Coturnix japonica: one gene and its partner. The protein of the gene in region 1 purifies or fractionates together with the protein of each later gene. This does not show direct contact. Links are inferred from orthologs where the notes say so. Each region holds a gene or a part of one and is shown on either strand. Other genes may lie near its edges.

Region 1 (3,745 bases):
TTGTAAGCCACCGTGCTGTTGACTTTATGGATCGTGGTAGTGAAGGAACGAAGACGAACCTCTTCTGAATTGGCAATGAATTGTGGTCCTGACTCTTCCCACTTTTCTGGCACTACCAAATCTTTATCTGTGTAAATCAGCAAGTCAAAGGCACCTGTAAGCAGGTGGGAAAAAGTTAATGCTACACACATAGGAATGATACCATAATTGAAGTTAAAACGCATGGAGACATGCAAGAAGGTTATCAGTAGTTATGGCATCTATAGAAAAAGAAATGGCAGTTAAAGGAATGAAAACAAATACTAGTTATCATTCCTGTAGTCGCAATATTTATGACAGCTGTAGGTCCTCAGATACACCAAGTTTCTTCAAGCTACTTAAATCACCTTGAATTGCACCTTTTGGGGAAAAAACGAGTTTAAGAGTTTAACTTCCAATGAAGTTGCTCCAAGTGCTTGATTGAAAGAGAGCACAGTATTTACAGTAGCAGTTCTTTTTCAGTTTGTTGTACAAGAAGCAGTACAGGACAATACTTAGAGTACTTTATCTGATGCTGCTTCTATACTGTACATAGCTGAGACTGTCTTGGTCTAACCAAACATATACCCAGAAATGCAATACATGACACTTCAAATAATAATAATAAAAACAGAATAGTGGAAAAGATTTTCTACAATCAAATGCTAGTTCAGGCTTTCTGAAAGAAGTGTCATTTCTTTCGGAGAAGTTACAAATACTCACAGGCAGTTTCCAGGAGAGGCAGAAAAGTTACCGTGGCAGTGATTTGTCTGATAACAGATCGAATTTCATCCTGAATGGCTTTCTGAGATTTGTCTCGGGGTGCGCTGGAAAAATGAGAAAACTCTTTAAGAAAACAACTTGCACCTCCAATACTGACAGCTTTCTTTAAACACAGTTCTTGCTGCACTGCTGTGGGGTATGTTTGCTGTATGGTTATGCAGAAGCATTCTTTCAAGCCTTAGGCTCACAAAACTGTAACTTTCAATTTGTTGTTTGTGAAACCTCGCAGTGTTTTTAAGGACATATTTGCTGTCTGGGTTGGGTGAGAGTTTTGGCAAAACAGCAGAAGAGCAGTAATACAGGACTTTGTTCAGTTGCAGATTACAAAACATTTTGATAACTGAATGATGGAATCATTTGAGTTGGAAGGGACCTCTAATTGTTATGTATTCCAACTCTCCTGCAATAAACAGTCACCTACAGATCCACAAGATTGCTCAGTCCTGCCAGCCTGACCTTGAGTGGCTCCAAGGATGGGGAATCTACTACTACTCTGGATGAACTGTGCCAGTGCCTCACCACTCTTATTGTAAAAAAAGAAACAAACAAACAAAAACAAGCCAAAAAACTTATTTCCTCCTTATATCCAATCTAAACCTCACTTCTTTTAGCGAAACACTTCACTCTTATCACACCCTGTGCCCTGACAAGTCTGTCAGCTTCTTTCACATAGCCCCCCCTCAAAATACTGAAAGGCTGCTCTCTGGTCTCCCCTAAGCCTTCCCCAGGCTAAACACCTCAGCTCTCTCAGACTATCCTCACAGGAGAGTTGTTCTGTCCCTGGGACCATTTTTGTGGCCCTCCTCTGGACACACTCCAACAGCTCCATGTCTCTCCTGTACTGAGAATTCTCAATCTGGATGCAGTACTCCAGGTGATGGCTCACCAGCGCAGAGCATACAGGCAGGATAACGTCCCTTACCCTGCTGACCATGCACAATTCTTTGGATGTGGCCCTGGATACAGTTGGCTTTCTGGGCTGTTAGGTCATATCCCTACTCAGGGATATGATTTAGTGTAGGGTTTTTAGAGTCAGGGTACTGGTTAGGCTGCGGTTGGACTTGATGATGTTCAAGGTCTTTTCCAACCTGGGTAATTCTATGATTTCAGGCTTCATGTCCAGCTTGCCACCAAGACCTTTTCAGCAGGGTTGTGCGCCATTCTTATGTCCCCCAGATTGTACTGAAAGCAGGGGTTGCCCCAACCCAGGTATAATACCTTGCTCTTAGCTTTGTGGAATCACATGAAGCTCACTTGGGCCCACTGCTCAGCCTGTTCAGGTCCCCCTGGATTGCATCCAGTCCCTGGAGCACATCAATGGCACCCACAGCTTTATTTGGTAACGTCAGATAGCTCTTAGGTTACAGAGGTAGCACTACCATACTTGGTCTTTCCCTTGTGTCTCCCAACAGGGAGAAGCAGGCACAGAAACGCTGTCACTCACCTTTCACCCTTGGCGCTCTTGTCACATTCAATGTCAAACTGCCACCGCTCCAGTACCTCATTGTTCTCAATGCTGGAGATGACCACCACCAGGCGCTGCACGGTGCACTTATAAAGCCACTCTGGAAGAGGCCGCAGCATTTACTACGGCTGTATGAGAAAAAGGGGAAGGAGAAAAGGGGACGGGAAGCGGGGGGGGGCAGGTCTCACCTTTCATCTGCTCCACCACGTTGTTGAGGTAGTTCTTCAGCTCGGGGTCGGTGGTGACGAGCAGGGTAAGGCCGTACTTCTGGACGCGGGTGAAGGTCTCAGGGGGGTAGATGCCCCGCTGGTACAGGATGCTGTTGATGCCATAAGCTGCGCGCACAAAGCGGGGAGGCTTCTGTAAGGGGGCCACCCCTCCCGCCCTACAGGCGGCCATGTCGGCCGCGGCATTAGAGCCAGCCGCCCGCCCGCCTTTTTCCCCCCAACCCGCCCCCGTCTCCCCGCACCCCTGGGCGGCCCGCAGCCCCTTACAGAAAAACTCGGCGACGATCTCCGCGCTGCCCCGCAGGGTGATTCCCTGCTGCTCGCGGCCCAGCTGCGCGGCCATGGCGGTGCCCGCCGCCCGCTTCAAATCACGCCCCGCCCCTTCCGGCCGACTGCGAGGGCTGAGCAGGCGGGATGCCGTGCTGCGCATGCGCGGGGTGCGGCCGTTGGCGGGCGGGGTTTGCGGTGTGTGGGTGCGTCCCGTCAGGTGCCGTTGGGTGCGTGTGTCCTTATGGAGGTGCTGCCTCTTCTCTGGGCTATTTCTGGTTGTGCTCAGTACGAAAGCCGCCCCGCTCAGCGTTTAGCAGTCGGATTGCTGTTAATACCCGCTATTCTCCTTCAGCCCCTGCGCTATTCCCGTCCCAGAGCGCTCTCAGAGCCCTTCCTTTCCCACTCTGGGATTTTCTCGTGCTTTTCTCCCTCCGAGGTTCCCTACGAGCCGCCTCCGCTGCGCCATTGTAGTTAGACCCGGTGGAATAGACAAACCCAGCGCTCATAGAAGCGAAGTGCGGCTCCTCAGCGCTCTGGTGGATTCTTAAGGGTCTCCCGTTGCAGGTAGCTGATCTGCTTCAACACAAATTGGTTTCTCCGTGTTTTGGCAGAGGCGGATGAGGAGCTTTTCCATGTGCTGCTGATGCCTGTAGTTCACATTTAGGGCATGTCCAGCTGCGTGACAAGCAGGAGGCTGTGGGGCTGTCACGGGGAGCAGTGGGGATAGTGCTGTGGGTGAGGGAGCGGTGTGTCTGACAGCCCGCTTCCTGAGCAGCTCGCGGGGACTCGGCAATGCAGATGACAGACTGAGTTATACGTTCTGGCACATCACGAGTTGGCCGTCCTTGCTTTAATTATCTCATGCTAAAGCCTTAATTTTCAGAAGGAATGTGAAATCCCAGTTGCATTTAATTTGGTTCTCTTATGATTCTTTAGTCATTGCTGTGTTTCTCAATTACATTTTGATATGACACACACATAT
Region 2 (3,745 bases), on another chromosome or scaffold:
AACCCAAAGGAAGAAGAAACGAAATGAGTTTAAGACTCAATTTTTGGCTCCCATGTTTGTCTTCCATCAACTAATGAGCAAACGAGAGACTATGGAGACTGGGATGTCAATATCGCTTGCTCAGAGCCCCTTCTCTAGCATGCTTACCCCAAGCTGAGCCATACATCCCTGCACTCCTCATCTGCACCCAGCCCCAGTGAAGAGTCTCCACCAAAATATGTGACGTAGAGACGATCCTTTGGGATCTTGTAGACCTCTGTCAGGAGCTCCCAGGCCATGCTACACGCTTCCTCCTGAGCAGACAGGAATACAAAGGAAGCACAGGAACACAGAGTCGAATGAGACAAGGGGGTTCTTCAGAATGACAGTCAGGCACCAAATCAGCACGTCCCAGCTATCACAGAATCAAAGAATGATCCGGGTTGGAAGGGACCTCAAGGATCATGAAGCTCCAACCCCCCTGCCTGGCAGGGCCACCAAACATACACATTTACTAGATCAGGTTGCCCAGGNCCCGTCCAACCTGGTCTTGAACACCTCCAAGGACGGGGCATCCACAACCTCCCTGGGCAGCCTGTTCCAGGGCCTAACCACTCTCCTAGTAAAGAACTTCCCCCTAACATCCAACATAAATCTTCCCCCTTTCAACTTAAAACCATTTCCCCATGTCCTGCTATTGTCAGCCTTTTCCAAGAGTTTACTCCCCTCTTGGGTGTAGGTTCCCTTCAGGTATTGAAAGGCTGCAATGAGGTCACCCCGCAACCTTCTCTTCTCTAGGCTGAACAAACCCAACTCCCTCAGCCTGTCCTCATAGGGGAGGTGCTCCAGCCCCCTGATCATCTCCGTGGCCCTCCTCTGGACCCTTACTCTCGTCACCTCACCTTGAAGTAATCCCCGAAGGACCAGTTCCCCAGCATCTCGAAGAAGGTGTGGTGGTAGGTGTCACGGCCCACGTCCTCCAGGTCGTTGTGCTTCCCCCCGGCCCGCACGCATTTCTGGCTGTTCACCACCCGCCGCTGCTGTGCCAGCTCGCTGCGGGGATGCGCCGTGCCCAGGAAAACGGGCTTGAACTAGAGGGCATGAGGCAAAAACACCCACTATTGCCAGCTGTCACCCATGTTCGGCCCTCAAAGTATATGAGAGAGGGCATCCGGGCTGAGGGGGGAGGAAGGTCAGGGCCCGCACCTGGTTCATGCCCGAGTTGACGAAGAGGAGGGTCGGGTCGCCGCGGGGCCGCACGGGGGCGGAGGGCAGGAAGCGGTGGCCGTGCTTCTCCTGGAAGAAGCGGAGGAAGGCGGCGCGGATCTGTGCCGAGGGCGGGCAGGAGGCACCGCGACGGGGACAACGGGGCCAGGGCGGCCGGACTGCGAGCAGCGGGAGGCGCAGAGGACCGGCCGCCGCCATGTTGGCCGGGGCGGATGTCGGCACAGAGACTTCCGATGAAGCGGGGCCCGACGGGACAGCGGAGGAGCGCCGGGAGCCCACCCGGTGCGGGGCCCGGAGCGGCATGGCGGCGGGAGGCAGCTCGCGGCCCGCATGGTGCCTGCGGAGAGTCGGGGCGGGCGGCGGCTGGCTGCTGCTGGAGGCCGGCACGCAGGTCAGCGGGGCGAGGGACGTGGCCCTTGTGTGGTGGGAAGGCCTCCCAGAGCGGGTGTGGTGGAGCCTGGGGGTTAAACGAGGGGAAAGTCGAGGCCGGGCCGGCTGCTTTTAGCGCCGGTAACGTGGGAAGGGGTGGGGATGAGAACCAGGAACGGAGCTTAATTCCCTGCGTACCTCGCTGTTATGGGCCTTAACGTCAGCTCAGGTCTACAGAGAAGCTGCTTGTAGTACTGTAGTGTAAGAGGAAAAAGGCCTCTTTTACCGGGGCTAGCATTATGCAACGTAGTCGCTTTTCATGCTTCTGTTACCTAGGTTATGCTTTGCATTTGCTTCCATTGTATCTCAGTAGAACGTAGGGCATTCTCGAGCGTGTTTGGAGCTGGGAGGTGTGCACAAGCACTCAGTGACTGGTACGTGTTGCTGAGCGTGGAATGTAGCAGGCTTGCAGCACCGGGGTGACCTCATTGCAGCCTTTCAATACCTGAAGGGAACCTACACCCAGGAGGGGAGTAAACTCTTCGAAAGGGCTGACAATAGCAGGACATGGGGAAATGGTTTTAAGTTAAAAGAGGGAAGATTTAGGTTGGATGTTAGGGGGAAGTTCTTCACTAGGAGAGTGGTTATGCCCTGGAACAGGCTGCCCAGGGAGGTTGTGGATGCCCCGTCCTTGGAGGTGTTCAAGGCCAGGTTGGACGGGGCCCTGGGCAACCTGATGTAGTAAATGTGTATGTTTGGTGGCCCTGCCAGGCAGGGGGGTTGGAGCTTCATGATCCTTGAGGTCCCTTCCAACCCGGGTCATTCTGTGATTCTGTGCAGCACAGGCTGTATGAGCTGCATGGAGAATCTCGCTGAGGTGAAGCTCTGTTTGCTGCAGCACTGTGCTGTGTGGCAATCTCAGAGAGGGCGAATGGAGCTTTAAACAGCAGCCTGCAATTAGATCAGATTTAACAAGCTACAATGAAACCGTACTGTCACTTTATGCCTGCTTCTTGCAGAAGATGCTGTCGGATTCTGCTCAGATTATTTAGCTTACTTTCAGACTGGCTGTAAGCAGCACGTAGCTCAGGTATCATGCTTTAAGGGAACAATTGTATGTTGTTTTTTTACTTTAAATGACAGTTTTCTGTGCTATTTTTGTTCTCTGTCACAGAATCTTTCCTGTTTAGAGTTGCACAGATGCCGTTAGCTAAAGAAGAGGGTAAGACATATTTTGAGACCCACACTATTGCACTGGCTTGAAAAAATACTGTTTAGTTACTGTCCTCAACTCTTGGGTAATAGCTTTAAGATGCTAATCAAGGTAGATTTCTGCTGTACTTAGATTCAGCTCATATGAATTTTATTGACCGTTTTGTTGATTTTTTTTTTTTTGTTTCAACTGCTTTATTTTTAGGTAACTGTAGGCCGGGGATTAGATCTCACATACCAACTGGTGTCCAAAACCTGTCCCTTGATGATTTCTCGTAAGCACTGTGTTTTTCAGCAAAATGCAGAAGGGCAGTGGACTGTTAAGGATAATAAGGTACAGAGACTGACCGAAGACCTTTTACTCTTAGTTTTACTGTAGCCAGTGCTCTGTTTGGCATAAAAAAAACATATGATCTTCGTTTCTAATATGGTGTAAGTGTGATGGGAGGTTCATGGAAGCACATCATGTCTGTTGTGTGCTTGTAGCAGGAAGCTTTGGTCTGCTGCAGCTGGGATGCAGGCCTTAGTGCTTTCTGTATGTGGCCTTATCCCTTGGTCTACCATTTCCAGGCAATTACAGTCCTACGCAGGGCACTTTGCAGGCTGTGAACTTGCTCTGTGCTCCTTTAGTATAAAATAAGTAAATAATTTACATTCAAGAAGATAAATGTTTTCGTACTGCAAAGAAAAGGATACACTGATACTGCAGTGACTAAATTGCTTTGTTTATAACCAATGACAGTGAAAATCTGTTAGAAAGAAAAGCATGCTTTGCATTGTCCTCAAATATATTCAGGTTCTCCTCAGCTGAGTAGAATGTAGAGAAAGTGTTGAGATCAGAGTCTACAGCGAGGTCTGTCTTTTCCAGTGGTGATCTGTATTGTTTTTTAATCACGAGCTCTGCACTTTCTCGGTTGTGCTGTGGAATCAGTAACTTGCCTTAAGATAGCACCAGCAC

The links.
Region 2: the proteins of MAD2L1 (region 1) and RNF8 purify together in Homo sapiens (co-immunoprecipitation; 3 studies listed by BioGRID and IntAct, with this or other methods). This does not show direct contact. The link is inferred for Coturnix japonica from reciprocal best matches to the Homo sapiens genes MAD2L1 and RNF8.

Annotation. Positions count from the first base shown.
Region 1 is NC_029519.1:48,826,550-48,830,294, reverse strand, and holds the start of MAD2L1 (mitotic spindle assembly checkpoint protein MAD2A), read right to left. Parts: upstream 2,899-3,745; 5' UTR 2,837-2,898; coding exon 2,761-2,836; intron 2,602-2,760; coding exon 2,455-2,601; intron 2,367-2,454; coding exon 2,246-2,366; intron 846-2,245; coding exon 742-845; intron 155-741; coding exon 1-154. UniProt on the Homo sapiens protein: Component of the spindle-assembly checkpoint that prevents the onset of anaphase until all chromosomes are properly aligned at the metaphase plate.
Region 2 is NC_029518.1:27,124,784-27,128,528, reverse strand, and holds the start of RNF8 (E3 ubiquitin-protein ligase RNF8), read left to right. Parts: upstream 1-1,509; 5' UTR 1,510-1,597; intron 1,598-2,364; exon of another isoform or gene 2,365-2,749; 5' UTR 2,750-2,797; intron 2,798-2,992; 5' UTR 2,993-3,052; coding exon 3,053-3,121; intron 3,122-3,745. Other genes in the region: AARS2 (alanine--tRNA ligase, mitochondrial), read right to left, coding at 148-293, 882-1,070, 1,186-1,509. UniProt on the Homo sapiens protein: E3 ubiquitin-protein ligase that plays a key role in DNA damage signaling via 2 distinct roles: by mediating the 'Lys-63'-linked ubiquitination of histones H2A and H2AX and promoting the recruitment of DNA repair proteins at double-strand breaks (DSBs) sites, and by catalyzing 'Lys-48'-linked ubiquitination to remove target proteins from DNA damage sites.